2 linked regions of the Elephas maximus indicus genome follow. The protein of the gene in region 2 interacts with the protein of the main gene of each other region in a biochemical or structural test. Links are inferred from orthologs where the notes say so. Each region holds a gene or a part of one and is shown on either strand. Other genes may lie near its edges.

What was found.
Region 1: the proteins of MSN (region 2) and ICAM3 form a complex in vitro, tested with the Homo sapiens proteins (2 studies listed by BioGRID). The link is inferred for Elephas maximus indicus from reciprocal best matches to the Homo sapiens genes MSN and ICAM3.

Annotation. Positions count from the first base shown.
Region 1 is NC_064821.1:28,434,350-28,449,951, forward strand, and holds ICAM3 (intercellular adhesion molecule 3), read right to left. Parts: upstream 12,150-15,602; 5' UTR 11,305-12,149; coding exon 11,223-11,304; intron 10,681-11,222; coding exon 10,414-10,680; intron 10,408-10,413; exon of another isoform or gene 5,556-10,407; coding exon of another isoform or gene 5,444-5,555; intron 5,040-5,443; exon of another isoform or gene 5,013-5,039; coding exon 4,947-5,012; exon of another isoform or gene 4,816-4,946; coding exon 4,510-4,815; exon of another isoform or gene 4,148-4,509; coding exon 3,863-4,147; exon of another isoform or gene 3,494-3,862; coding exon 3,239-3,493; intron 3,119-3,238; coding exon 2,870-3,118; intron 2,786-2,869; coding exon 2,592-2,785; downstream 1-2,591. Other genes in the region: RAVER1 (ribonucleoprotein PTB-binding 1), read right to left, coding at 366-432, 2,025-2,288. UniProt on the Homo sapiens protein: ICAM proteins are ligands for the leukocyte adhesion protein LFA-1 (integrin alpha-L/beta-2). ICAM3 is also a ligand for integrin alpha-D/beta-2. In association with integrin alpha-L/beta-2, contributes to apoptotic neutrophil phagocytosis by macrophages.
Region 2 is NC_064846.1:108,663,760-108,679,361, reverse strand, and holds the start of MSN (moesin), read right to left. Parts: upstream 6,425-15,602; 5' UTR 6,217-6,424; coding exon 6,205-6,216; intron 1-6,204. UniProt on the Homo sapiens protein: Ezrin-radixin-moesin (ERM) family protein that connects the actin cytoskeleton to the plasma membrane and thereby regulates the structure and function of specific domains of the cell cortex.

The sequences.
Region 1 (15,602 bases), on a different chromosome or scaffold from region 2:
AAGGAAATGGCTGAGCCAGAGAGGCTAGAGGGAGGCTGCCCTCCAGGCAGAAATGGAGGTGACAGGGATCAGGTGGAAGCCATGAGAGTAGAACGGCATCAGATTATTCTGTAGAGAACTAGACAGGCTTGGGTGACTAGGGGGAGAGGCGCAGGGACGGGTGGCCCAGTGCCTGGGTATCTGGCCGAGCAACCTGGAACAGCAACATCAAGGATGCTCTAAGATGGGCACCTAGGGTGAGGGACACATTGGGGCAACCTGCTGCACCGGCCTGAGGGGTGATGTTGGGCCTGGAACTCAGGAGGGGAAAAGCTAGGCCAGGACCCTCCCAGCATCACCCTCACCAAACCCCCAGCTTCACAAACCTGTCCCTTTGTATTTGTCCACAAAACAGTACTTGAGCTCATAGTCGCTGAGCAGGTCATGAACTTCCTGCAGAGACAAAAGCCAAAGGACAGGGAGTCAGGAGGGGATGAAGGGAGGAGCAATCCAGTGCCACTTACTCAATGCTTACTGGTGTCAACAACTATTCTAGCACTTAACATAGAATGCCTATGTTACCTTCTCCGTTTCACAAACGAGCAAACTGAGGCTCAGAGCTGCTACTTGCCAAGGCCATTAAGTGATACATGACAGAGCTGGGACTCAGAGCCTGGTTGCAGACTTTTAGGGACACCACCACACTCTCAGAGTTAGGTGGGTCTCAGTGCAAATTCCAGCTCTTAGGAAAGTCACTTAACCCATTTAGGAAAGTCATTTAACCCATCTAGACCTCGATTTGCAAGATGTTCTTGACTTTTTCCAACAACCCTACAAGCTAGGTATTAACAAACCCATTTTATAGATGAGGAAACAGGCACAGAGAGGTGAAGGGACTGCTGAAGGTCATGCAGTTGGTCAGGGAAGCCACAGGAATGCTACCCAGGGCTACCCAGGAAGCCCATGTACTTAACAAGCCCACACCCTGTAGTTACACATGCCTTCTGCTGGCACTGGTGGCCATCTCAAAAGCCAGCTGCGGGGGTGAAACACTGGGGCCTGTTTGTGCCAGACACACTGTGCACCCGTGGGAGAGACAGTGCATTCCCAGCTGAGAGACAGTGGGCAGTGGGTGAAGGAATGGCTTCAAAACAAGCCAGACCAAGCCTAGCAGCGCCTGCCCAGGTTTGTCCCCAAATCACACCCCTCTCAACACTCCAAGGGCCCCACCAGCCACAAGCCCACCTGTGGGCAGGGGAGGGCCAGTGGCAGGTGTGCTGGTGGGCCTGAGTGCACAGGAGCAGAAAGTACTCATTCCACCAGGGTAGGGCAAACTGAATGCCATCTCTCTGAGTCCAAAGAGCATCGGGAAGGCCTGCCCCAGCTAGGCCTCGAGAGAAAGGGAACTCCTGGCTGGAGGATCAGCCAATGGGGGCGCCACAGAACACAGGGCCCCCTGTCCTGCCGGTCTGTGGATTGGTGGCAGGAACTCCCTTCTTCCAAACTAATCTTGAGGGTTTGTGGAAAGGGAGCTCCCAGGGACTTATAGAACTTCCGGATCTATCTCGGAGAGGACTGCATCAGTGTGTGATAGGAAGGGCATACTCCAGGGAAACCTGAAACTTCTGGGGATGAGGCCCTGCCATCCCGTGGTAGTGGGGGGCGGGGGGAGGCAAAGCAAAATCTGCACAGGTAGCAACTGGCGTCCCGATATCCACAAGTTCTAATCTAGGCTGCCCATTCACGAACCCCCAACACGGCCAAGGCAGCCCGCCCCCTTCCATTCCCCGCCCCATTCAGTCACTTGGTCTCGCCCAAGCCTGTGGTCGCCCCTAGCAACGTCCTCCTTCAGCCCAATGCTGATTATTCCTCCATCGCCGCCCCCCACATCCAGAACTTGGTCTCTCCCGAACCTGCCTGGATACCGCGCTTAGACTCTCCGGCCGGCGCCCCCCACGCACGTCAGGTTGGTGGCGCCCAGTTCCCCCCGCGCACGCGCAGGATGGTATTTCCCGCTACGCTCCCACACCGCGCCCCCCCCATACCTGGTTGGTCACGTCCCCCGGGAGGCCCCGGATCAGTATCTTGCGGCGGTTACGGAACTGGCGCTCGGTATGCTCCAGGCGTTTCCGGATCTCCTCTGGATCTAGCGGCGGCAGCTCCTCCTCGGGAAACCGGCGCTCCGAAGCATCGCCGGCCTCATCCTCAGCCTCTGGGCTCAGAGGGGGCCGGTGAGTAACGGACACGTCGGCCGCCATCTTGGGAAACCCGGCGCCTTCTGGGACCAGCGAGCCGGGGCGGAGCAGCATAGAGCGGCAACGAGGGCGCACCCGTCGATTGGCTGGGTGGAGCCCCGCCTCCCTCCCTACTCCTTCAGCCCATTGGCTAAGGCCCAGCACGCCTCTCTGACTTTTAGCCCCATCTGGCCGCCATAGACTCCGCCCCCTTCCACCGCCCAATGCAGCTCAGAGAACACGCAGTGCATTGGGAGAGTTCCGGGGCGCCGGTGGAATCAAGCCACAGACTCCGGAGCTTGAAGGCTTTATTGAGGTGGACTAGGATACAGCCAGCAACCACGTGGTCTTTGGCCTGGCATCTCGGAGGCCCGCAGCTCAGGACGGCTCCTCCCCCGGCAGCCCGTCGGGCTGTGTAGACGTGAGAGGCAGCGAAGTGCTCTCGTGCTTCACGCAGTAGCTGCCTCTCCTCCTCTGCACCCCGAAGACGTACAGTAAGGCTGCTGTGACAATCACCAGGCTCAAGACCAGTAACACCACCATGGCGATGGTGACGGAGCGGGCGTTCCGATCTGTGCAGAGAAGCGCGGAGTGAAGACGCGCCCTGGCCAGTCCTGGAGTTACCCGTCCAGACCCACAGCCCCGCCTCGGCTCACCCTGAACTTCCATCACCACCTCCACGGTGGTTATGCCCCGCGGGCTGATGGCCTGACAGTGGTAGGTGCCATTATGGTATAACCTGACGAAGAATGGGATCCCGACGGGCACCTTGATACGGGAGCCTTCCTGCAAACACTGCAGCATGGGATCCGGGTTGCCCCTTGCCTGACACTGCAGGACCTGGTAAGTTTTATCTTTCCACATCAAGCGCTGGGGGCATTTGGTCCGGTCAATCTTGGGACCGTCTGTGGAACAGCCATGTGATCAGACACACCTAATACACCCTGAGCACAACGGGGCAAGGGAGAGTCAAGTCTTTTCAGTTCAGGGGAGCAGGGAATTAAAGGTCAGGGTGACCAACTCACACAGGACATTTAGCTGGACGCTTCTATTTTTGTGCAGGACTTTCCCGTCCACTTCCAGCGTAGCATTGCAGGAGAAATTTCGCCCGTTGTCGCTCTCGGTGGCGTTTAGCTGGAGCTGGGCGGGCTGCCCCGGGGCCATGATCGGAGCCCCGCCCAGCATAACTTGGACTCGGGTCCCAGCCATGCAAGTCACAGTCACCATGGTACCCTCAGAGGCGCTGGCCTCGCTCAAGTTCAGAATGGGCTCCACGAAGCCTAAGGGCGGGCATTGTACAGCAGTCCTCTTGGCCATGCCCCTCCCGTCGGCCAGCCCCGCCCCCACCGCCCCTTCCTTCTCAGGTTGTCCAGACCCCGCCTTTTGGCTCCTCAGGCCCCGCCCTCTTCGCACTTTCTCACTCCTGTGAGCCCCCGCCCAATTTAGGGCGCTCAAACTCTATTTCTCGGGTTACTCAGGCCCCGCCCACGTGCAACTCCTTCCATTTGGGCTCCTGTGGCCCGGTCTCCCCAACTAGCTAGTCCCTATTTGCTCTCTTTCTGCCACGCCCATCGGGCTACAGAGGCCAGAGGCTGGGCACCTCTGCTCCACCCGTTGAGCCGTTCTGGCTCCGCCCCGCCCCTTCTTACTGTAGATGGTCACATTCTTCCAGGTCTCCCGGCTCTCTCCTGCCAGGGTCACCTTGCAGACAATCTGGGCGCCCTTCTGCTCCTCGCGCGCTGTGGCCATGGCTGTAGCCCTGAGCGCGTCCCCGTGGCTTACGACCGTGGAATTCAGCATCTGGTCCCCCAGCGTCATGTGGACCTGGGCCTCCCAGACCGGGAACACTCCATCCAAGGAGCAGTTCACAGCGGTCTCTTTACCCACCTCCAAGATACGAGGAGCGGTGAGAAACGGACGGGTCATTGGCAGGGCTAGGGAGAGGGGCGAGTGTGAGCAAAGGGCATGGACGTCCTGCAGCCCTTTCCTGGGGTATTTTCATTCCCTCGCCTGGAATATCCTCTTCTCGGGACACTCTGCGGCATGGGTCACCCCCGTCCCAGGACACACCCACCCCTTGGCCGGAGATCACAGCTTTCTCAAAAGACCCTGCTGCCGTGGGCACCCTATCCCGGGACACCCTACTCCAGTGGCTACGGGGAAGCTCTTCCCAGAAGCCTCTGCAATCCAGTACCCCGCAGGCAGAGGTCCTACCTCCCCCGGAGTTCTGCACCCCAAACAGGAACCCCTCTCCCCCCCTAAACCCGCCCTCTCTATGGGCATCCCAACGCCTCACCAAAGGTTCGGAGCTGCCTGGAGGTCGAGCTGTTCTCCAACAGTCCCAGCCCCTGGGGCCGCAGGTCCAGTTGCGTGCTGCACGAGAAGTTGGCGCCGTAGTCCTCCCTGCGCGCAGGCATTGTGGCCGTGACCTCAGCAGGCTCCCCCACTGCGGGCTGCCTGCCCAGTTCCTCCTGCCCGCGAAACAGCACCATGGAGAGGTTGGCCCGGGGAGCTCCGCCCCATACCTGGCAGTGCAGAGTGAAGTTCTCGCCCACTGGCTGCCAGGGGGGCAGGGGCGCCAGGTCCATGCGCTCCGGTAGCCCTGTGGGGGTAGAGATGGCATTTGTCAGCTGGCCCTGTAGCCCCCATTCCAGGAGTGGGGGGAGGCAGAGGGAGGCCCCACACAGAACTGTGAACTTTGAATCAGTCCAGGTAGAGGGCTTAGAACTGCACCTGTGTGTTTGCTATTGTCGTTAGTGTCATTATTGTTTCCTGTGTTGTTAGACACCTTGCCAGGCCCTAAAATAAAAGTCAGATTTTTATTTCCCAAGGATCTCACCATTAAGAACAAAAAGTCATGAAGGAAGGGGACTAACATTTATCATCACTTGAGATATTCATAGTAATCATAGAAAGTTTCTATTTAGAGATTTCCTTAGGCATTCCAGGTGTCACCCGCTTTCATCGACATAGCAGCTTAGTGAAATTTGCTCTATTTTTTCCTTTTATGGATGGCCAGGAGAGGTGAGGTGATTTACCAAGAACACAGCCAGGAAGTGGCAGAGCCCAGGCTAGCCCAGGTCTCCCAAACTCTAGACCCAGGTGTCCACTGGCCTCGTTGCTGTCATGTCCAGGGACTCCATCCTGGCCTAGAACCCTGCCGTCGCCACTCGAAGAACTTGGTCCAGCCCTCCCCAATCAGTTCCGGGCACCCAAAACTCTCACCTCACCTGCTACGTGTGGCCTCCTCAGGGTGTTCTGGCACAGTCTGGGGGGTCTTAAGGGTCCCCAGGCCAGTTTCCTCCCAGCTGCAGCTGCATGCCCATGGCAGACAAATGCCATGGCCTCCTTTGGGGAACATCTCACTTTCACACTTGACAACTCAAGCACAGAGGCCACGGACGGGCTGATAGGAAAAATATTTAGTATCTAAATATTTACAATTTTAGAATATTTAACAAGGAAGGTATGATCTTAACCTTGGGTACCACTGGCCAGGGACTCTAGTTTGCTGGGAAATGCTGGTAATTGGGCTGTCAGGGTTGGGGGAAGGAAATCCCCGACTTACAGCATTTGCCATTTTCTGTGGTGTAAATACTCTCACTATGGCTGATTACAAGCTACCACACTGATGCGGAGTTGAGAAGGGATGAGCACAATTGACTCTCATGAGCCAGGACAGACTGTTCCAGCTCAGCACTGGACAGAGGTATCCCAGGGAGTGTCAGCAGAGAGATGCACAGGCAGGTCCACTCCCAGGTCATGATCCTGGCAAATTTCACAGACACACACATGAACAGAGACAGGGACACACACACAGACAAACACACAGATATACACAGTAGCCCCACAGGTACAAAAACATGTATACAGACACAGATACTGGCACAGACATATTCACAGAGATACTGACATGGACATACACATACATTCACATACAGAGACATGATAGAATGGTACAAGACCAATGACTTCTTCATTGCAAATACCTCTCTCTTTTCAACAACATAAACTACAACTATATACATGGACCTTGCCAGATGGAATACACAGGAATCAAATTGACTATATCATCAGTCAGAACAAGGCCAGGAGCCAACTGTAGAACAGACCATCAATTGCTCATATCCAAGTTCGAGTTGAAGCTGAAGAACATTAAAACAAGCTCACAAGAGCCAAAATACAACCTTGAGTATACCCCACCTGAATTTATAGACCATCTCGAGAAGAGATTTGATGCATTGAACGTTAATGACAGAAGACCAGTTGAGTTGTGGAATGATATCAAGGACATCATACATGAGGAAAGCAAAAGGTCAATGAAAAGACAGGAAAGAAAGAAAAGACCAAAATGAATGTCAGAGGAGACTCTGAAACTTGCTCTTGAACATAGAGTAGCTAAAGCTAATGGAAGAAATGAAGTGAAAGAGATGAACAGAAGATTTCAAAGCGTGGCTTGAAATGACATGTGCAAAGACCCAGAGCTAGAAAACCAAAAGGGAACAACACTCTCAGCATTTCTCAAGCCGAAAGGACTGACGAAAAAATTCAAGCCTTGAGTAGCAGTACTGAAGGCCTCTACAGGGAAAACACTGAATTACGCAGGAAGCATCAAAAGAAGATGGAAAGAATACAGAGTCACTGGGGGGTGGGGGGGTGACCCATGCCGCAGAATGTCCCAAGAGGATATTCCAGGCGGGGCAATGAAAATGCCCCAGGAAAGGGTGGCAGGACTTTCGTCCCCTCTGCTCATGACTGCCCCCTCCCTAGCCCTGCCAATGACCCGTCCGCTCCTCACCGCCCTTGTGTCATCTGCTTATTGCAGATTGTTAATGAGTCTTCCTCGAATCCTGATGCCACGTTCTTTTTCATACGGTCCAGCTTCTCGGATTATTTGCTCAGCATAAAGATTAAATAAGTATGGTGAAAAGATACAACCCCAACACACACCTTTCCCTACATTAAACCATGCAGCATCCCCTTGTTCTGTTCGAACTACTGCCTCTTGGTCTATATACAGGTTCCTCTGGAGCACAATTAAGTGTTTCGAAATTCCCATTCTTCAAAATATTATCCATAATTTGTTAAGATCCACACAGTCAAATGCCTTTGCGTAGGTAAAACATCTTTCTGGTATCCTCTGCTTTCAGCCAAGGTTCATCTGACATCAGCAATGATATCCCTCGTTCCATGTCCTCTTCTAAATCTGGCTTGAATTTCTGACAGTTCCCTGTAGATGTACTGCTGTAGCCGCCTTTGAATGATCTTCAGCAAAATTTTGCTTGGGTGTGATATTAATGATATTGTTAGATAGTTTCTGCATTCTATTGACTTACCTTTCTTTGGAATGGGTACAAATATAGATCTCTTCCAGTCTGTTGGCCAGGTAGCTGCCTTTCAAATTTCTTGGTATAGACAAGTGAGCACGTCCAGTACTGCATCTGTTTGTTGAAACATCTCAATTGGTATTCCGTCAATTCCTGGATCCTTGTTTTTTATCAGTGCCCTCAGTACAGCTTGGACTTCTTCCTCCTGTACTACTGGTATTTGATCATATGCTATCTCCTGAAATGGTTGAACATCAACCAATTTATTTTGGTACAGTGACTGTGTATTCTTTCCATGTTCTTTTGATACTTCCTGTGCAATTCAATGTTTTCTCTGTAGAATCCTTCAATACTGCTACTCAAGGCTTGAATTTTTTCATCAATTCTTTCAGCTTGAGAAATGCTGAGAGTGTTGTTCCCTTTTGGTTTTCTAACTCTGGGTCTTTGCACATGTCATTATAATACTTTGTCTTTTCAAGCCACCCTTTGAAATCTTCTGTTCATCTCTTTTACTTCATTTCTTCCATTAGCTTTAGCTACTCTATGTTCAAGAGCAAGTTTCAGACTCTTCTGTTCCAGGACACAATGAGGATTTGAAACACTGATGAAGATCAAAGTCTACAGCCTTCAGTATAGATTATACCTCAACATAAAACAAAAATCTTTACAACTGGACCAATAAGCAACATCTTGATAAAAAGAAAGTATTGTCAAGGATATCAGTTTACTGGGATCCACAATCAATGCCCATGGAAGCAGCAGTCAAGAAATCAAAGGACGTATTTCATTGGAAATATCTGCTGCAAGAGACCTCTTTAAAGTGTTAAAAAGCAAAGATGTTACTTTAAGGACTGTGATGGTTAAGATTGTGTGTCAACTTGGCTGGGCCATGATTCTCAGTGGTTTGGCAATCGTATGATGTTGTGATCACTTCCATGTTGAGATTTGATATAATGTGATCACCCCCATGATGGGATCTGCTGTGAGCAGTCAGTTGAAAGGGAGTTTCCTTGGGCGTGTGGCCTGCATCGAATATAAGTGGACGTTCTGACAAGGGACATTCTGGTGGGCTTTTACTCTCTCTGGATCCTGCAGCTGGCTCCTGCAGGTGGCTCCTGCTCATCTGGCCTCTGGTCCTTGGGACTTAAGCTAGCATCTTACCTGTGGTCTTGCCTGCCGATCTCAGGATTCGTCAGTCTTCACAGCCTGTGAGCAACAGCCCTGCTCTCTGACCTACCAATCTTGGGTTCTCCAGGCACTGCGGCTATGTGAATCAGGAGAAGCCTCCTGACCCACAGACTTGGGACATTCCAGTCTCTACAACCACATAAGCCACTTCCTTGATATAAATCTCTCTCTATATATATATTTATACACTTCACTGGTTTTGTGTCTCTAGAGAACCCAGCCTTAGATGAGGACTAAGGTGCAGCTGACCCAAGCCGTGGTATTTTCAATCACCTCATGTGCATGTGGAAGCTACACAATGAATAAAGAAGACCGAAGAAGAATTGCTGCCTTTCAATTATGATGTTGGCAAAGAATATTGAATATACCATGGACTGCCAGAAGAACAAATTTGTCTTGGAAGAAGTACAGCCAGAATGCTCCTTGGAAAGAAGGATGGTGAGACTTCATCTCATGTACTTTGGACATGTTATCAGGAGGGACCTGTCCCTGGAGAAGGACATCATGCTTGGTAAAGTAGAGGGTCAGCAAAAAAGAGGAAAACCCTCAGGGAGATGGATTGACTCGATGGCTGTCACAGTGGGCTCAAACACAGCAATGCTTTTGAGGATGGCGCGAGACCAGGAAGTGTTTCGTTCTGTTGTATGTAGAGTCACTGACTCATGGGCACCTGACAGCAACAACAACAGAGACACATACACACAGATACTGATCTGCAGACATATATATTCACAGACAGCACATGCAGAGATAGACACGTACACACAGGCACACACAGCTGTAGGCACACACAAACACAGAGACACAGACACCCGTACAGACAGACACTAACACAGATATATATGTCCGTTCACACGGACACGCACGAATACTGACATACACAGATACATAGGCTCAGGGACAAACACGTAAGTACATGAAAAACTGCCACACAGATCCCGACACACACACACACAAACTCACGGGCATATTCATAATCTCAGACAGGTACACTACATTCACTTACAAAGCCTTCACAAAATAGTAGTCACTATGTGTGACATCGTCTGTTATTTTCTAGTCTGTTCTATTTTTTAAAATGCAGAGAAACTCTGAAAGGATGTCTAAAACACTGGTAACAGGGATAGAAGTTCTGGGAAGAAAGACTACCTGTTAAGAGCAGAAACTTGGATGCTGGACTGCCACTGGCAAGTGACTTCACCCCACTGAGCCTCAGTTTCCCTGTCTGTGAAATGGGGCTTATCACTGCACCTACCTCCCAGGGCTTTTGTGAGGATTGAATGAACAAATAGGTGTCAAGCCCTTAAGATAATGCCCATATGCAGTGAGTGCTAGGCAAATGACAATTTTTACTTTACATCTTTTTATATTTCTTGGGTTTTGAACCACATTAATTTTTACCTACCATCAGAATAAAAGTAATAAATAAAAGACATGAGATAACGTTTTAAAAATTGCTCATTGGGACCCAAATAAATTGATTTCACAACTGGGCCCCTGGCAAAAGGTTGAGATGTATGTCTGTATGTGTTTGTCTTTCTGTTTTTCTCACACACACACACACACACACACACACACACACACACACACGTCCAGGTCCAGCCCTGGGTCAGAGCCCTGGTCCATTCCTGCAAACTCAGCCCCCAACTGCTGCCCGCTGCCAGTCGCCAGCCCCGTCCACTCACGGTACACGGTGATGCTGGTAGAGCCACTAATCTGGGAGCCATTGCAGAACCCAGCACAGATAATGTCGCTGTCACCAGTCACATTGCTGAGCTGGAAGGCTGACCAGCTCAGTCCACTGCCCACTGGCTGCTTGGACAGGGCCGTCTCCAGGATGATATTTTCAGGATCCGGGCAGTCAGCACTGCAGTTCACCAGGAGCGACCCTCCAGTGGGCACCACTGGGTTCTGGGGCTCCACCCGCAGGGGGGACACCTGCCCCTGGGCACCTGCGGGGGCATGAGGAAGCTCAGGTGGCTGTTCCAGTATCCCCCAACCCACCCCTCTGCAGGCCCCCTCTTCATGCTGGGATATGAGGGGAAGCAGTCTGGTGGGGAAGACAGATGACCAGAAAAAAAAACGGGGAGAATTCCGAGGGAGGCCCTGATCCACCCTAAAGGAGAGAGTGGGTTACAGGAGGCTTCCTGGAGGAACAGACACCTACAGCCAGCTCTGAAAGGTGGATAGGAGTTAGCCATGTAGAAGGGAAAAGTGTTCCTGGCAGAGGGAATAGCATACGCAAAGGGCTGGGGGTCCTGATGGCTCATGGAGAGTGTGCGTGTGTAGCACAAGTCACACAAGAGGACCGGGCTGTGGGGATCCCTGAAGCCCAGTTAAGGAGCCCGACTTTCTCCAGAGGACATGGAGGAGCTCCGATCAGATTCGAGTTCCCAGAAAGGCGCACAGCAACCAGACCAGCAGGATGTGGGCAGCTGTGCTTTCTCCGTTCCCCGCCCCCAACCTACTAGTCCCCCCAACCCTAGGCACTCACCTGGGGGCAGCAGGCAGCAGACCAGCAGCAGGAGGATGAGCAGAGACAGGCAGGCCTGGAGCAGTGGTGCCAAGGGCACCATGGTGGTCAGTCTTTGGGGAAAAGGTGCCCTGATGAGGTGCCAGCAGTGCAGGGGGTGGGTAGGTCACCCAGGGAACGGAAATGGCGGTTAGGATGGCAGAAGCCAGGGGCTGCACTGTGGCCAGGCCCAGGGAGGGGCAGGGGGATTCTCTGTGGCCCCAGAGTGGGCTACCTCGGCAGGTGCGGGGCCCAAGAAGCCCCGGGGGTGGGGGTGGGGTCGCTGGGCACTGGCAAGTCTCTGACAGGGCAGACCTTAGCTGCACTGCTGGCTCCCAGGTGAACCCACAGGAAGTGCTAACACAACTGGTTTCCTTTGTTTTCACCAACAGGGACCCTGCGGGGAGGCGGGGGTGATGAGACACCTTCCTTCAGAACTGGGTGAGATGGTGATTGGTCCTTAGAAAGGGAAGTTAATGCGGGGGGGGCCCTCTGGGCACTGTCCTCGAGGCGCTAGGTGGGATTTCAAGGCAAACTTTCAAAGGGGGTGACAATGGGAGACTTTTAAGCATAGCCTCAAGAAGTTAGTGTGAAATTTTAACATTCTGGGGGGCAAATAAAGAATTTGGGGGTGACAGTGAGGAACCCCTAGGATGAGAGATGCCATAAAAATGAACAGAACCCACATTTATTGAGCGCTTACTAGATGCCAGGCCCTGTGCTGACCCTGAGCAAGGCCATGGCCCCTGAAGGTCCTTTACCTTTGAAGATCTTGAGGATCTCCCACTCCCTGCAGGCAGTGCCAAGGCAGGTGTCTTAGGAACGAGTCCTGGGCCACTGTCTTGAAGATGCCACTTGTAACTGGCTTTTACCCCTGTCCTGCACCCTGCCTTTGCCCCTCCAGCTTGTTTCTTCACTCCAAGAAAAGTGCTCTGCCCTTTCTCCTCCCCTCCCCTCCCCCCGGCCCTGCCCTCTCTCCTTCTCTGCCTCTCTCAGCTCTCCACCAGCCTCCTCACTTCCTGTGCCTCTATCCCAGTTCTATAAGAGAGACCTTGTTGAGGGCCTTGATAGTGCCGTGCCTGGTATTCATCTATTTTCCCCATCCCTAAGGCCATAGCACCCGCCCCTTCTTGCTTGGAGATCCCACCAACTAAGTCTCTCTGCTGCTGCTCTGTCCCCCAAAAGATCCGCTTGCCACAGTTCTTGAGAGACCAACTCAAAAGGCAAATCAAATCCCGTCATTCCCTCTGTTTCACATCCTCCAGACTCCTTGCCTGGGCCTAGCTGCTCCTTTTGTTTGCTCAGGACCCCTCTGCCCTTAGCTCCTCCCAGCTTCCTCTCCTCTTTCTGCTCCAGCCACACTGGCCTCTCTGCTGTGCCTCAAGACCACACCACTCACCCAGAACAGTCCCCTCTCCGGGCCTTCGCACATGATGTTCCTTCTGCCTGGACCACTCTATATTTACACGGGGGGACATGGCTCCTCCCTCACCTCCATCTACTCAGGTGAGGCCTTCCCAGGTGTAAAATGGGGGCAGTAGTAGTACTAGTAGCAGTATCAGTAGCAGCATCAGAACCTGTCTAACTTCAGGGAGGACAATGCAATTCAAGATCAGCCCAAGGCTGATCACTATGAGCTGGAGACCAAACATACCTCCACTCTCCAGCCTTTTTACCGATTCTGACACCAACCACTCCTCCCACAGCACTCTACTTCTCTTCTGGGCTTGATAATCTGTTGCAGTGGCCACACAGAACTCAAAGAGCATAGTTAAGTGGTCTATTCAGGAAGTAACAGACTACAACTCAGGATCAGGAAGCATGTAGGCAGAGTCCCCTTCTTCAGTGCAGGACAGCTCTCTCAGCTCCTCTCGGTAGGACAGGCTCCTCTTGGCCTTGCCATCCATTACTGCCCACTCTGCCATGGGCCCAAGCTGGGCCTGTCGCTCCTGGCCCTGCCACTGGGTCCCTTGCTGTCTTTAATGTTATGGCTCTTGACCTGGGTTACAGCCCTTTTAGGAGGTTCCTTGTCTCTTCTCTCTGCTGCTTTTCTTCCTGCTTCTATCTCAAAAACCTCTGTGGTGCTGGCTGCTTATATACACAACTGCTTGTCAATTTCAAGGCATGGCCCCTCCCAATGGGGGTGGGCACAAGCTGACCAATCCCCTCTCAGTAGGCCTCAGACACTTCATTTGCATAGTAGGCTACACCTCCTCTCATTTGCATAGTCTATCAACAAATCCCTGCAAGGTGCATACCAATCACAGGGCAGGCTGCAGCCCAGGACCAGACCAAAAGTATCAAATCAAGTTATTCACAATTTACCCAGGAAATATCAATCAACCTGGACAAAAGTAACAAACCCTCTGGGGTAGAAAACTAGGACAAAGATAACCCCTCAGGCCTTACGGGGAAAAAAATCTCAAGCTGTTTTTTCAAAGAACCAAGGTAAAAGGCCATATACAGGAATTCGTTTCACCACACCTGGTCACCCATTTTACAACTGTCACTCAGCCTTAGGCTTTACCTTTTGTCCCCATAAATCATCACCTTCTAACATATTTATAATTTACTGTTTTTTCTTTCATCACTTTCTAACATACTTATAATTTACTAACCCCTTTTTTTTTTTTCTTACTGCCCCTTGAATGCCTCTCCCACCTAGAATATAAGGGCGGAAATCTTTGCCTAGCTCACTGCTGTACCCCAGTGACTAGAACCGTGTCTGGCACACAGTAGGTTCTCAATGAATATTTGTTGGATGGACACACACAGAAATTTGGTACATGGGTTGGGGGTCTTGTGACCCCTGAAATCCTTTTGTGGGACCCTCGCAGGCTTCTGTGAACTCCGGGATGTTGCCCTAATAGGTGATTCACAAAGAACAGATGTCCCTTGGCAAAGGAGACAGGCGATGTCTGTGCCCTCCCTGCTCCCAACCCTGCCCTGTGGGGGGTAGATCTTGCCAGGGGCTTGGTCCCTTGGGCCAAGAGGGAGTGAAGAGAGAAGCGGGGAGCCCAGGAAGAAGTGTGGTGGCAGTGGCCACCAAGTCTCTGGAAGACATGAGTGATGACTGCCCCACCTGGGTGGGAAAACAGGACCCTAGAACGTGAAAGGCCAATGTCTGAGCTTGAGACAGGTGGGAGGAGAGGGTGCTCCCCAGCCCAGGAAAGATATGAAGTATCTGCTATTGTATCACACCGTGTTGGAACTGTCCCACCCTGAACTTCCTCATCTGTGAAGTGGGCATGTCCAGAGCCCCCACCTTCTAGACTGCCACCTGTCAGTCAGGTTGTCATACTGTAGTGGCTTGTGTGTGTTGCTGTGATGCTGGAAACTACACCACCAGTATCTCAAGTACCAGCAGGGTCACCTATGGTGGACCGGTTTCAGTGGAGCATTTCGGCCTAAGACAGACTAGAAAAAAAGCCCTGGCGATCTACTTCTGAAAATTAGCCAATGAAAACCCTATAGATCGCAACAGAACATCGTATGACATAGCGCTGGAAGATGAGCCCCTAGATTGGAAGGCACTTAAAATACACAGCGGCCACAATAATGGATTTGAGCACACCGACCGCAAAGATGACGAAGGTCTGGGCAACACTTCGTTCTGTTGTACATGGGGTCACCATGGGTTGGAGCCAGCTCTAGGATAACTAAAAACGACCTTCTAGAGATGCCAGGAGCAGCCAGTGAGCTGAACCAGCACACAAGGACCTAATGCAGAGTCTGTGGCCTCACAACTGCACCCTGTTGTCCACAGCAGTGGGGGTGGGACCGCCTCACGGGGCTCACAGGGCTGACTGGGCTCAAGCCTGAGCCGTGTTTGCCATCTCCTCAATGGTAACATGGCAATCACAGTGCTCCCTTCTGGAGTGGTGTGATCACTGAGCACTTTAATACATGTACAGAGCTCAGCACACTGCCCAGCATATATCTAACCCTCGCCCTAAGCCCACGAGGCCCCTGGTTTTCTCCATTTTACAGCTGAGGCAACAAGTTCAGAAAAGTGGCGTGACTTGCCCGAGGAGGCACAGGGAGTTGGAAGATTAAGCAGACAAGTCCTGACAGTGACACCTCTCATCTTGTGAATTTCTGAGGACCCCTTCAGGTGGGGAAATACTGCTCAAAACTGCAAAGACATCAGGGCTTGCAATCCTGTTGAAACTCTAGCAGGATATTTCACGGGAAAAGCCATATTAAAAACAATTACATCCACCTATTTTGATTTGCACTCAAAACATGAGGGGGGTGGAGGAATGGAGAGATGGAGAGATGCAGTATGCTAAAGCAAATTTAACCACTTGCTGTCAAGTCAACCCCGACTCCTGGTGACCCCACATGTATCAGAGTAGAACT
Region 2 (15,602 bases):
ATCTGTTTCCATAAAAATTAACAGCCAAGAAAACCTTATGGAGCTCGCTTCTACTCTGTAAAACATGAGGTCGCCATGAATCAGAATTGACACCATGGCAATGAATTTTGTTTTCATTTTTTACCTGCTGCAGGCTTGGCCTACAAGCACCTAGAGGTGAGTGGTGAGGGCTGAAGCCAGGAGACACCAGTCTGTATTCAAATAGCTGCTTACAGCAGCAAATGTTATCACCAAATTGGAAAGACAAGTACCATAATGTTCTCCTAACTCAAAGAGCAGGTCAAGCTGGAGCACTGAACCAGAATACAAGGTCAGAGCTCAAAATTAAAAAGGACAACAAGAAAGCGGGGAATTTGGGTGGAGGGGCAGGAAGAGAAAACAGTCATTCTGAGGCCCCAGAAGAACTGAGTCATTGACTCACTGAAACCTGCTACACCAGAAGCTATTTAGGGGAACTCCATTGCAGCCATTTTGTTAACGTAATCAACACAGAGCCAATTCTCTGGAAATCTGCGTCACCTGGGTAAAGAGTCATTCTTCCAAGGCAGTCATGCCCAGTGGGAGAGCACTAACTTGGAAACTAGGAAAGCCTAGTTCTACTTTCAATGCTATTACCAACTTTATGCAAACCCAAACAAGATTCCTGACCCCTCTGGCTAGTATAAGGAGAAAAATTTACTCTCTTCCATAAAGCATATTAAGGCAGTGAGGCCTGCTCTCAAGCAGGAAAATGTGGCTAGTCACCTTTCCCCACCTCCCTTCAGCACACACATCTGCCTCCCACCACCCTTCACAGCCAAAGCAGAACACTCACCTTCCTGGGAAGTGCCACAAAGAGCCCCCACAGCATGATCAGAACCTGAACCATCTCCATATAAGGCAGCCTGTGAGGTCAGCTCTACACACTTGCTCTTCCCATGCCCATAATTACACCATGGTCAAGTCACCCCGGCATAGAGGGAGAAAACACAGAGTCCTCGTCAATGAGTGTCATTTAGAAGGCAGGCATTCAGTTCTTCCCCTACACTGAGGCCAGACAACTTGGATTTTAGTCCCAGCTCTATCATCAGTTCAGTCCTGAAGAAAGGACTTGCCTAAAGGCTCACTTCATTTGGAAAACTTTCCTGAGGACAAAAAAGATGATCTTCTTATCCCTTTCGTGAGTAATGGGACAGTTTTCTCATCTATATTTTCTGCCTCTCAGATTTCTTGGGAAGTTGCTTTCCCACTTTCAGTGTGTGCTGCCACCAGGCAGGGACGTGTATTAACTGTTTGAAACAGAAGAAACGTGTGTGTACTGCAAATTACTGTTTTTACAGGGTATTGTATTAGGAGGTGCATCCTGGAGGTGTGACTGTGCAAAACTTTTGCCTCTTTTGGCTGTTTTACAGTGAGATAAGCCTTGTAAGTATATTTCCAGGTTCCTGTGTGTTATCTGGAAATTGTATTTCTCATACCACCATCCTACCCCCGGAGACTAGAGGGACATATGTGTCCCACATAATCACACATAACCTACCCCCATAGTGCAGGGGAACATGTGTGTTTCCACATAATATTATTCAAAATCCACATTACCTACCAAAAATTCAGACACACTCGATGATTCAGCATGCATTCCATTCATGAAAAAACAAAAAATCAAAAGAAAATCACAAGTGGAAAATAATTCATACATGGAAGGGTTAGATGGAAAGAGAAGATATATTCTCAGTTCAGTTTACTTTCCATTTCCCAACATCCATCTTTCAAATTAATGGAGTCCTGAGCTAACCCTCCAAGTGATAGCTCCTGTATCACAAATTAGAACTTGGATTGAAGTTTTTCAGCTCTATCAAGCATGAAATGGAAGGAAGGATGAACAGCGAAACTAGTCAGTCATGACAAGACCACTCCCTTCACTTGACCAATAGACTGCCCAAAAGGAGACCACCTTTGTACTTTTTTTTTCTGTCTGTTTTTCTGAGGTGGAAGAGTAGGGTGGGGCAGTGGGGACAGAAGACTGTAGGTTGGAAGAGAAGCACATGATAAATTCAGTTCTGTCTTTGAAAGATCAGAAACAGACTGTTCTCAACCTGTAATGACACCAACTTTCAGCAACTGTGGTCATGATAGGCCAAACCCTGGTGGTGTTGGTAGCTAGGTCCTCTCCCCTCTGGGGACCCTGAGTCCAGAAATTCCAGTGAGCAGAGGGACTCTCAGGGAGATACAAAGGAACCTAGACAGAATATCACCAAGCAACACTATCAGAACAGAGTTCAAAATAATTATAGCCGTCATCTCATCTCATCCAGAAAGAATTAGATTTGGAGGAAGGGGGATAGACCAGATGACCTCTAATATTCTTTCCAGCTCCACCACTCAGTAAAGCAATCTCCCAAGAGGATGAGGCCAGGGAGAAGTAAGAATAACACTGTTAAAACAAGCTACTGTTACAGGCACCTAGAGAATAATGGAAAGTTAGCAGAACAGGGGTCAACCTCTGTCACGGACTCACCGAACAACCTTCTCCTCTCTAAGCCTAACAAGAGAGAGTATAGATTAGTTGGTGTCTTCGAGTGTCCCATAGGCCCTCCTGCTCCACCAGCTCCTGTCTGCTTAGAGATATGTTCAAGGAGAAGCCTAAAGAAAATCTCCAAGATGGTTCCTGCATTTTGTCTGTCATCTGTGCTTTCACAAAGGGTCAAGTAGGCTATGGATCCAAAGAAGTGGAGATGCAGGATCCAAAAAGTTTCTCTCACACACAACTTCCATTCCTGATCTCTCACCCCACCCCTGAAGGCTGCAGGCAGAACTGGTTCAAGGGTTAACAGTATGAGAGTCTACCTCCTATTCACCAAGTGCCACTTCAGTGCCATTCGAGTGGCTCAAGCAATGCTAGGAATGGCAGCACAATAAACAGTCCACACAGCCCCTGTTAAACTTTAGCTGAATGCAGACTCAGAAGCCTTCAAATACTTCAAGGAGCTGGGCTCTATGTTTGCTCACATGAACAGTCCTAGAAAATGACCACTTGAACACCTTTCCCCTGATTTGTTAAGCTAGGGCTGAAAACCCAGCAAACTGAAGAGGTTTTACTGAGATTGACTCTCTTATTAAGATCTGGATTCAAGTCCTAACTTTGACACTAACTTTCTATGTGGCTCTAGGTCAGTCCCTTACTATCTGTGGGTCTCAGTTTCTCCATTATAAAATGAGAGAGTTTTGGACTTGATAGTTGTAAAGAGCCCTTTCAACTCTGACATTTCATAAATCCTAAAGAGGGAAACCAAAAACTCAAGAACATCTCAAAATTTCAAAACAATCTCTTTTTAGGGAATCCAGGACAGCCCCAAAACCTTTGTGAGCTTAAAAAAATTACAGAGGGTAGGAAGGGGGTAAGACCTTTTCTAGAACTGTCTAATCATCACTATAAAGTACAGATGGCAATTAATAAGCTCCTCCATTCCAGCTACTAAAGCAGACTGAGGAAACTGGCATCCAGAAGCAGAGTCCACAAATGAGTGGGTCAGGGGAGAGGATGTTTTAACAGATTTAAGAAAGGCTGGGCAGATTAGAGGAGCCCTGGTAGCACAGTGGTTAAAGAGCTCAGCCATTAACCAAAAGGTCAGCAGTTGGAATCCACCAGCTGGGTTCCTTGGCAACCCTGTGGGGCAGTTAGTTCTACTCTGTCCTATATAGGGTCACTACAAGTCGCAATTGACTCGACGGCCACAGGTTTGTTTTGTTTGGTTTGGGCAGACTAGGAGAGACAATTGGCCGTAAAAGTGAAACCAACCCTGGATAGTCTGTAGACATCATTCATATGAATGAATGAGTTTGATTTTCCACTACCCTTCCCTATCTGTCATAATCCAGAAATAGCCTAAAACACACCACTGAAGAAGAGGTGGAGAATAGGGAATTTTTCCCCTTTCATTAAAGTTACTAGCTGGTATGCATTGGACTAGGGTGTGCCCCTGGACATTCCAGCATTGGGATGAGGAATGAGAAAAGTAACAGAAGACACCTTGTGACACTCCCAACTTTACCAGGAGACCACAGAAATTCTAACTTTGGTCACTTTGCCCAAATTACCAACTTCCTTTAATCTGAGGACCATAAAGGCCTGAAAACAGGGGACAATTTGCTTTGGGCATGAGAGAGGACTCAGACTTCAAGAACCCAATCAGTGGGTCAGCGTAGGGGGTTGATAAATAGTCTCTCAGGTTCCTTTCAGATTAAAATTTATGGTCTTAACAGGCATGTTTAGGAGTTGTTTCTCCTAAAAGTTGACCATTCTTTGAACCAAACAGCATGGAAAATTCTTGTGCTTCCAGTATCAAAATTCAGCCCTCTCCTTCAATATGATTCAAGTTTCAGTTAGTCTGCATAAAAAATACCTTTAGTATTCAGGCATCTTCAATACCCTGGGAGTGACCCCATACTCCAGTATCTCTTCATACCCATGAGAAGAATCACCATGTTGTATTCTTTGCCACTTTTGACTAAGATGGGATGGTTAAGGCAACTTTGAAGCAACTTCCAGGCCCATCAAGTTCTGTTTAAGGGTGGCATATCTCAGAATTAAGGACGAAAGACGTCACTAGGGAAGAGAAGTCATGGGGCTGACTATTCCCAGAGATCCACCCAACTGTTCAGTCAAAGCCACACCTTAAGAGGATTCAAGGAGTCAACCACAGAGAGGTAAGACTAAAGAGAGGCTCCTGGAAGAATCTTTATAATCCTCTGTGTTGGCAAAGACAGTGTTACACCAACCCCTCTAAAACCACTCTCTCTCACTTGTTGCAGGAAGGGTGTTGGGAAGACAGTGTGGGAAAGCCTCAAGTGGTAAAACCAACAGCAATTTAAAAGAGAGAGATGGTGAAAACCTATACGTGCTGAAAACTTGATGTTTCTGAAAGGCAGGGTTCTGGAAAGCCAAGAAAGACTTGGCAGTGAGACTGGAACACAGCGACGTGGCAACTGAAGCTCAGCATACACCCAGAGAACTAGGCCCCACACTCAACTTTTCTCATCTCAGGGGCCCTTAGCCCTTCTTAAGGCTACTAGCCACTATTTCCACTCTACAAGGCTTTGGCAGTCCTAGGGAGGGGGATCAGGAGCTCTCTGCATAACCTAACAAGCTGCTTGGACTAAGGGACTCAAACCAGGCCTGCCCGAGCAAGGGAAAGGCCCCAGCAGCCATTTGGCGTGACTTGCACAAAAGCAAGCAGGGCTCATTAGTCAGGCATACCCCTCCCCACCCCCTCCTCCTGGGCATCCGGGCCCCACTAGGCCTTACTCCCAGAAGGCTTCTGCTCTTCACCTAACAGCCTGTGGGGTGGAGACAGATCCCAGAGGCAACCACTACTCTAAAAAGGTGTGGTCCTACAAGAGAGAACTCACACCTCACAGAATGTCTAGAAGGCACTCACAGGATGGTCCTGAGGGGATAGGAGAGGAGAAGGGGGCATTAAGTAATAGGAAGACAAGGATTTGGCTGGTGGGGAGAAGGGAGAAACTAGTCTTCTCCCCCAGAAGGTGGGGCAGTTCTCTCCTCAGACTGGTTCCTAGTGAAGTGTTGGTGCTTTTGGGTAAAAGAGAGCAAAAACAAAAAGAAAATTTTTTCCTAGTGAAGTGTTGGTGCTTTTGGGTAAAAGAGAGCAACCGCTATGAATTCCTCCACAACTCTTTCCTCCTCTCCTGGTGGGAAACATCTGGAGCTGCCTAGGGAGGCTGTGGGAAAGGTGAGAGAGGGTGCAGGACCTGCCCTGAGCAGTTCCCTCCCTTTTCCCTCCTCTATTCCCATGGCTCCTCTAGGACAATAGCAGCCTTGCCCCAGAAAGGCGCCAATTCCTGAGCTGAGAGAAGTGTTCCCTTCCATACCAGAGTCCTCTCCTGTCTTCACAGCCCATCTTGGGCAAAGGGAGACCCCGGGCCCCCAACGAAGTCTTCCCCACTGCTGCATCACCAACGCAGAGACTTGGAACCTGAGAAAGAGGCCGGCCCCATCCTGCCCACACTTCTAGCCCAAGGGACCCTCTCACCCACAGGGCACACCAGACAAGGACCCCATTCCCGCCTCCTCCCCACCCTGGGCCTTGGCTTAGGTCCCAGCATTTCAGGTGGGCGGGTGACTAGCCAAGCTACTGGTCATCAGCAAGGGACCACGGGGGCCGGCTAGAGCCCCCGGGGCCGGAAGCACCCACCCCTGGCACTCACCGTCCTGGGCATGGTGGTGGATAAAGCGGCGGAGTTGGCGAAGTTTGGCTGGGAGCTGTCGGGCAGCGCTGGGCACGCAATACACACTGCTCAGGCTCGGGGGCCAAGCGCTCGGACTGGGTCCCTCTCTAGCGTCAGGGCGATTGCTCGGCTTCCTGCTAACGGGCCACGACTTCACAAACCCCACCCAGGAAAGAGCCGCCCCCGTCGCGCCGCCAGCTCCTTTATGTGGCCGGGCTTCCGCGCCGCTCCCCGCCCTTGCGCCCGCCTCCCCGCGAGCCGCTGGCCTCGCCCCACCCAACCCAGCCCTGCCCAGCAATGCCACACTGGCCACGTGGGAGGCCGGGCTAGGCCCGAGCAGCCCAAAGGGAGCTCTCATCCCCGCTCCTTCCCCACCCCCGCTTACAGCCCCTAGCCCTTTGCGTCAGGGCCAACTAGCCCCACCCCCACGCAGGGCAGGACCCTGGGCTGTGCCCTGGCAGATGCTTCTGCTGTTCCTGGCCGCAACTTTCCACTGATGAGGAACTCAAGATAGCCTGTTCCCTCTTAAGACAGCCCTCTTGGAAAGTTCTTCCTTTTGTGTATATGAGCTCCTTTTCTATGTGGCTGCCACCAGTGGATCTCAGCTCTTGCTCCCTGAGTACATACCCACCCCCCCCCCCGTGCTGTTCCCTAAGGAAAAAAAACCAAAAACCAAACCTGTTGCCTAGGAGTCGATTCCAACACATAGCGACCTTGTAGGACAGAGTAGAACTGCCCCACAGGGTTTCCAAGGAGCTCCTAGGGTAAGTAACAACTCCTCAGAGGTCTGAAGATGGATCCCAGGCCCCCCTGAAACTTCTCTTGGCTAAACAGCCCCAGCTCCTTCAACCCTTCGTCCATTTCTTCTGTAGGACTCTATATCCCTTCTTCCACCATATTTCCTCCCTACCCTTGCTCAGTCCTCATTTTCATCAGAATTAGGCTCCTCCATATCCTCTACTCACTTTCCTTCCACCAAATCCCAGTTCTCACTTGCCTCAAATCTGTGTGGATCCTTCAGCCCCTCCCCGGTACAAACACATTCACTTTCTGATGAGGCTATAATTCCCCAAGTTAGATGCACCCCTAGTCCACGCCCTTGGGGTGTGACTGCCAGCTTTCTTTCTACTTCTTGTCAAGGTCACAGAATCTCAGGGTGGCAGTGTTCTAGGCTGTAGCAATTATCTGTTTAATTCTGAGTTGTGGTTTGAAAGTGATTGGTCATAGTCCCTTTTTCTCCTATCCATGGCAACCTTATGGAAGCATGGTCTCAGTATTCTTTGTGAGTTAGGACACTTGAGGGATAGTGAAGGGAGCCAGCTTCGGACAGTGGAAAAGATATTTGAGTGGGGAGGGTGTGTCAGAATACCTGATTTCTTGTTGTGGTTCTGCCATTAACTCACTCTTTGACCACTGAATGGACTTGGGCAAGTTCCTTCCCCTCTCAACTTGAGATTCCCCTTCTGTAATAATAAACGGCTGGACTCCTAGGCTTCCAAGATCCTTTCCCATCCTGACGTTTTAAAAGGGTGAGAGAGGAAGTAGACACTCTAGAACATAGATGAGCCTAGCAGGGCTGCATATGGGCTGGCCTTGTATTTGTACTCAGGAACCAGCAGTCCTATTTTCCTCCCCCTCACCCAAGCTCAAAAGTGTCCATGAGTTAATGTGCCTCGGTTTCTTTCATTGATATGTCCTAGGGCAGGCAAGGAGCCCTGGTGGTGGAGTGGTTAAGAGCTCAGCTGTTAACCAAAAGGCCTGCAGTTCGAATCCACCAGCTGCTCCTTGGAAAACCTATGGGGCAGTTCTACTCTGTCCTATTGGGTTGCTATGAGTGAGAGTCAACTCCAAGGCAACGGGTTATGGCAAACAAAGCACTCCACCCAAGAGGCCTTATTGAGCTGAGCAGTTTGTCCAGAGGAAGAGCAGCACTCCCTGGAAAGCCTCAGCAGCAGGGGTAGCAGTGGCAGCCAATCACATTCCTTGACACCACCATGGTTCTTTCTTCCTAGAAGTTCAAAGAACTCACTGATTCCCTTATTCATGTTCACTTAGAACCCACAGGGGCTTGACACTAGCTAGGTTGAATGCCTAAAGGGGAAGGGGAAGTTGGAGATTCCAACTTCCTTTATCCAGTCTGGAAGGTAGAAACCCTCTGTGTGTCATTTCTCACCTCCCATGTCAACTGCCCCCACACATACACAGGAGCTAGTTAGGGAGTGTCAGGAAGCTAAGTACACTGTTTAAAGGGAAAGGGGACCACAGAAGTTTGGGCTGGGAGGAACAGGTCAGAGGGTGAAGGAGCTAGGGAAGCAAGTAGGGGGAAAGAAGGCTGAGGGAGGTTGGTGGGATTTCAGCCCCTAGGGAGGACATGGGTGGGAAATGGGGAAGGAGAGAGCATAGACTATCTGAAACTGGTTAGGTTAGCCCCCTTCAGGTTGGGGGAACTGAAGATCAGAAAACAGAAAGGGCTTACACTAGGTCAAGCAACTAGTGTATAGAATGGAGTCAGAGGATAATAGAGGATGCAAAGAGCTCAGTAAGAAGCTGTTGTAATAGTTGAAGCAAGAAATTATAAGGGCTAGAGCCAGATACAAGCTAGTTATGGTGATTATGGTCAAACAGCTGGTCATTGCTTAGAGGTTAGACATGGAACTCTCTGGCTAGGAGGGACCCATCTCAGTTATGCGCCTGCCTCCAAAGCAGACCAAAGGTAGCTGAGGTGCTCCCTTGTTCAAGATTGCCAGGGAAGCACATCTTTGTTTCCCGCCTCTTTGTAAACCATTCCGTGTCTATGCAGCCAGAACTTCTGATTTCCTCCCACCCACTATTCTGATCTTAGGTGGTTTGAGAAGTAGCTCAATCTTCCTGGGGCCAGAGTAATCTCCACAACTGGGTATAGATATGATGAGATTTATGCCAGTGTTTGTAGAGAGAAGAGATAGTAACAGGCTAAACATCCCCACAAAGGTTGGTTTCCCTGGGAGAGGGAAATAAGGTATGAGGAGACTTGAGTTTTTAGAAGAGTTGAATTCAGAGAATTCAAGGAGGGGCAGGCAAGTCTTTTTCAAGTGGTAGAGCTAGGTGAGAGACAGGATGAGCAGAGGGTGGTACAGGGACATTTTGCAGCTGGAGTTCAAGGAAGCTGGGAACATCCAGATCAAGAGTAGGGGCTAAAAGAGGAGATTTGGCCTGAACTTTATGGCCAAATATGAGAACCAGATTGAAAGGCCAAGGATTTCTTGGGGATTATTCTGGAGCTAAGTAAGTCTGGGAGTAAAAGTCATGGTAATGACAAGAAAGAACCGCATATGGCTGATTTATGTGACAACCTATGTATGCAAGCACTAGAGAGAAATGATATTGGACTTGTAATCACCTCCCCATATATCATTCCCACCCGAGATCTGCACTCACTGCGATACAGAAGCTTCTGCATTCTAAATGGCATTCCTCCTTCAGAGGATGCAGTGCTGGAGAGCAATATCAGAGAGCAACTAGATGGAAAGCACTCCTGGGGTACTTTGGATAAAGGCATTCCCCACCCAATCCATTGAATGGTAAGAGTATGGCAGACATACCCCAAGGAAGTGGACTAGGGGTACATCTATCACTCAGGACTTGCTGAGGGCCTCTTTTCATTTCCATCACAGTTGGTAAGTCCTTCCTTACATCTAATTTAGATCTCTTCTGCTTCACTCAGGGCTTTTGGTTGATCCTTAGGAATGAAATTAACTAAGTCTCTAAGATTGCTCTTCTCCATTCATAGAAAAGACAAATGTGACAGGGAGAAATGAGGACAAACACCAGCTTGATGTCACACACTTCAAGGTCTTCTATCTCTTCCTTCCCATGTGTCAGAGCCCAAACACTTGGCAAGCTGTTCCCCTTACACAAACAAGAGACTAGGCAGAAGAATATACTGCTCTCTTCCCAAAGGGAAGAGGCTGCCTCTTGGCACAGTATGGCTGAAAATACAAACTGCAGCAGTGGAGTTATCTTGCTTTTAACCGTCTTCAGTCTTCTATGCACTTCTTGAGAACAGAAGCTAGGGTTTGGGTAAAAGGAAAGAAGATAACATTAATGTACCGAAAACAGTGGGGAGGCTATTTCAATATCTAGCTTCATTTAACCCTAACAAGAAACTTTGGAAGTAGGAATAAGGACACTGAGGCACTGAGGAGTGAAGTGACTTATCCAAGAGTCTCATGATTCATTGATGGTGGGACAGGGATTTGGGCCCAGGTGTTGTGAGTCCAAAGTCCACCTTCTTTCCATCAGCCTGAACCTGTGACCTTCTCAGCTCTGACCTGTGACCAGGCAAACCCAAGGAAGGAAATATATTTTCCGATTTGTATCACTCCTGCGCCTTAATGGTCAGACTAGACAGCTTGAGATAGTGAGTGGGTAATAATAAACAGCAATGATAAGGCATCTTGCCAATATCAAATGCCTTAGGATCCTTGGTGGCGCAGTGTTTAAGAGCTTGGCTGCTAATAAGCCAAAGGCCAGCAGTTCAAATCCACCAGCTGCTCCTTGGAAACCCTATGGGGCAGTTTTACCCTGTCCTATAGGGTTGCTATCAGTCAGAATCAACTTGACTGCAATGGGTTTGATTTTTTTGGTTACATGAATATTTAGTATTAATAATATACTAATGGACCATAGTAAGAGGGGAGAGAATTTCTCTGTCTTTTCCTGTAATAAAGTTGAAAGCTTTTCAAGAGCTTCCCCCAGCCAGCCGATATCAATTCAGTTTGAGTCAATGTCCTCTTGGAATGTGAAATTAGTCCCACAGAGAGGGTCTCCTAGTCTCCCAATCAAGTCGCTAGTCCCTAGGCCTACCCCCTCATACCAGTGACTACACACGTAGTATGTCTGCATGCAGGGCCCAGAAGGAAAACAGCCCCCTTGAGCACAGGGTCCCTCCATGAACTGCTCATAGTGCAAACTCAATACACCTAGAAGGAACCTATCCATCTGTCCATCCCACCCGTGCATCTAGCAGTGATGGAGTGCCTGTTAGGTGCCAGGTTGTATGTGAGGCTCTGCAAGGGATGAACTCACTCCTCTTCCTTGCCGTGAGCTCTCCTCAATGGCTGTGTATCTGTTGGTGGTTTTGCTGTTAGTGTGGTCCTTTGTGTGCACATTGCCATCATCCTTAACTCTCCTCTGCCTGATGCCTGCCATTTGGTCACCAATCTCTACTGTCTATCTGTCCTTCACAGTTTCTCTCCCTCCTGCCTCCACTGTCAATGCCCTAGGTCAGCCATCTCTGTCTCTTGTCCCGGACTGTTGTAACAGTCTCCTCATTGGTTTTCCTGCCTCCAGAGTGCCCTCTGCATGGTCACCAGTGATCTTCAAAAACACAGCCTCCACCTGTTCTCAGCATTGTCAGGTGACTCACCTCCCCAACGTATGCGCGCACGCGCACACATACGCACACGTATGCACACTTAACTTTCTAGCCTTCTCTTCATCCCACGGCTCCTCAGCACAGACCTTCTATCCAGGTTACTGTCACCTCACCCAGCACTGTGTGCTTGCTCTTGTCTCTGGTCCTCTTGGGCCCCCACTCCTGCATGAAGTCCTCTCTTGATTTCTCCTGCTCTCCTTGTGCTCTCTGCCTCCCCCCAGCTCCTGTAGTACCCGCAGTCTGCAATGTTCATCTGGCCTCCTTTCCACACCCTGTCTTCTCAACTGCCACTTTTTTTTTTTCCTTTATTCCAGGCTGGGCTATGGCTGTTCCCAGAAAGGGATCATACTTTGTGTTCCATCCCAAAGGAGCCCAGGACACTTCCAGGCATATCTTTGGCACTCAGGACAGGTTGCTCAGCTAGGCCACAGGAAAAAAAGGATCTGCCATTCTCATTTTCAATCTGACAAACTTGTGTCTGTCCAGATTTTCAGAGGGACCAAGTTGCCCCTCACACTGCCTTAAGTTCTCCCCTGTTAGGAGACAAGACCAATGGAATGGAATAGAGCCTTCTCTTTTCTCTCTCTCTCTTCACTCAGAACACACACACACACACACACACACAGTGCCAGCTCTGCTCCCAATGTGCCTTACAGAAACATTCTACTGTGTACGAAGAGGCATTTACAAGGACATTCACTACAGTACTATAATAATGAGATAAGTTCCTTAGGGAATACACTATGGTACATCAATACAAGGAGATGCTTTCAGCCTTCTAAAAGAATAAGCTGCCATGAAGAGTTTTTTTTTAATTGTACTTGAGATGAAGGTTTAAAGGACAAACTAGCTTCTCATTAAACAGTTAGTATACATATTGCTTTGTGACATTGCTTACCAACCCCAAAACCTGTCAGTGTTCTCTATTCTCGAACTTGGGTTCCTTATTAGCAGCTTTCCTGTCACTTCCTGCCTTCTAGTCCTTGCCCCTGGGCTGGTGTGCCGCCTTAGTCTCCTTTTGTTTTATGGGCCTGTTTAATCTTTGGCTGAAGGGTGAACCTCAGGAGTGACTTCGTTACTGAGCTAAAAGGGCCATACTCAAGAGAGGCTTTTGATCTAATATCAAGTCACAGAACAATAAAACCCCGTTGCCATCTAGTCGATTCAGATTCATAGCGACCCTATAGGACAGAGCAGAACTACTCCATAGAGTTTCCAAGGAGGGCCTGGTGGATTAAAACTGCTGACCTTCTGATTAGCAGCTGTAGCACTTAACCACTATGCCACCAGTGTTTCCCACAGAACAATATGAGTAGCATAATCCCATTTATAAATCAAAATATCTGTGTGTTTACAGATATATTTGTAAGTTCCCAGAAAAGGGGGAAGATGCACAGTGAATTGATACACCTCTGGTGAGGGGACTGAAATTGGTTGTTCTTGTTGTTAGGTGCCATCGAGTTGCTTCCAACTCATAGCACCCCTGTGTACAACAGAACAAAACACTCCCCAGCCCTGTGCCATCCTCACAATCTTTGTTATGCTTGAGCCCATTGTTGCAGCCACTGTGTCATTGCATTTCCTTCAGGGTCTTCCTCTTTTTCGCTGACCCTCTACTTTACCAAGCACGATGTTCCTCTCCAGGGAATGATCCCTCCTGATAACATGTCCACAGTATGTGCGACTTTAGTCTCTCCATCCTTGCTTATAAGGAACATTCTGGCTGTACTTCTTCCAAGACAGATTCGTTTGTTCTTTTGGCAGTCCACGGTATATTTAATATTCTTCACCAACACCATAATTCAAAGGCCTCAATTCTTCTTCAGTCTTCCTTATTCATTGTCCAGCTTCCACAAGCAAAAGAGGCAATTGAAAACACTATGGCTTGGGTCAGGTGCACCTTAACCTTCAAGGTGACATCTTTGCTTTTTAACACTTTTAAAGAGGTCTTTTGCAGCAGATTTACCCAATGCAATGTGTCTTTTGACTTCTTGACTGCTGCTTCCATGGGTGTTGATTGTAGGTCCAAGTAAAATGAAATCCTTGACAACTTCAGTATTTTCTGTTTATCATGATGTTGCTTATTGGTCCAGTTGTGAGGATCTTTGTTTTCTTTATGTTGAGGTGATCCCTACTGAAGGCTGCGGTCTTTGATCTTCATCAGAAAGTGCTTTAAGTCCTCTTCACTTTCAGCAAGCAAAGTTGTGTCATCTGCATATTGCAAGTTATTAATGAGTCTTCCTCCAATCCTGATACCCCATTCTTCTTCATATCGGCCAGCTTCTCAGATTATTTGCTCAGCATACAGATTGAATAGTTATGGTGAAGGGATACAACCCTGACACACACTTTCCTAAGTTTAAAACAACGCATACTTGACTTTAAACCACACAGTATCCCCTTGTTCTGTCCAAATGACTGATTGTTGTTCTATGTACAGGTTCCTCATGAGCACAATTAAGTGTTCTGGAATTTACATTATTCACAACTTTATCCATAATTTGTTATGATTCACACAGTTGAATGTCTTTGCAAAGTCAATAAAACACAGGTAAACATCTTTCTGGTATTCTCTGCCTTCAGCCAGGATCCATTTGATATCAGCAATGATATCCCTGGCTCCACATCCTCTTCTGAATCTGGTTTGAACTTCTGGCAGTTCCCTGTCAACGTACTACTATAGTCACTTTTGAATGATCCTTAGCAAAATTTTATTTGCCTGTGATATTAATGACATTGTTTGATAATTTCCACATTGAGTTGGATCCCCTTTCTCTGAAATAGGCATAAAAATGGATCTCTTCCAGCCGGTTGGCCAGGAAGCTGTCTTCCAGATTTCTTGGCATAGACGAGTGCGCTCTTCCTGCTGCATCTGTTGAATCATCTCAGTTGGTATTCCATCAATTCCTGGAGGCTTGTTTTTGCCAATGCCTTCAGTGAAGCTTAGACCTCTTCCTTCAGTACCATTGGTGCCTGATCATATGCTACCTCCTGAAATGGTTGAAGGTTGACCGATTCTTTTTGGTATAGTGACTCTGTGTATTCCTTCCATCTTCTTTTGATGCTTCCTGCGACGTTTAATATTTTCCCCGTAAAACCCTTCAATGTTGCAACTCAAGGCTTGAATTTATTCTTCAGTTCTTTCAGCTAAAGAAGTGCCGAGTGTGTTCTCTTTTTGGTTTTCTAACTCCAGGTCTTTGCACATGTCGTTATAATACTTTACTTTGTCTTCTTGAGCTGCCCTTTGAAATCTTTTGTTCAGCTCTTTTACTTCATCATTTCTTCCATTTGCTTTAGCTACTCGACGTTCAAGAGCAAGTTTCAGAGTCTCTTCTGACATCCATTTTGGCCTTTTCTTTTTTATTTCCTGTTTTTGTAACAACCTCTTGCTTTCTTCATGTATGATGTACTCGCTGTCATTCCACAACTCGTCTGGTCTTTGGTCATTAGTGTTCAACTTGTCCAATCTATTCTTGAGAGGGCCTCTAAATTCAGGTGGTATGTATTCAAGATCATACTTTGGCTCTCGTGGACTTGTTCTAATTTTCTTCAACTTCAACTTGAACTTGCATATGAGCAATTGATTGTTCTGCAGTCGGCTCCTGGCCTTATTCTGACTGATGATGTTTAGCTTTTCCATCGTCTATTTCCACAGGTGTAGTCGATTTGATTCCTGGGTATTTCATCTGGCAAGGTCCGTATAGTTGCCATTTATGTTGTTGAAATATTTGTAATGAAGAAGTCATTGGTCTTGCAAAATTCTATCATGTGATGTCCAACATTATTTCTATCACCAAGGCCATATTTTCCAACTACAGATCCCTCTTCTTTGTTTCCAACTTTTGAATTCCAATCACTGGTAATTATCAATGCATCCTGATTGCATGTTCGATCAATTTCAGACTGCAGAAGTTGGTAAATATCTTCAGTTCCTTCATCTTTGGCCTTAGTGGTCGGCGTG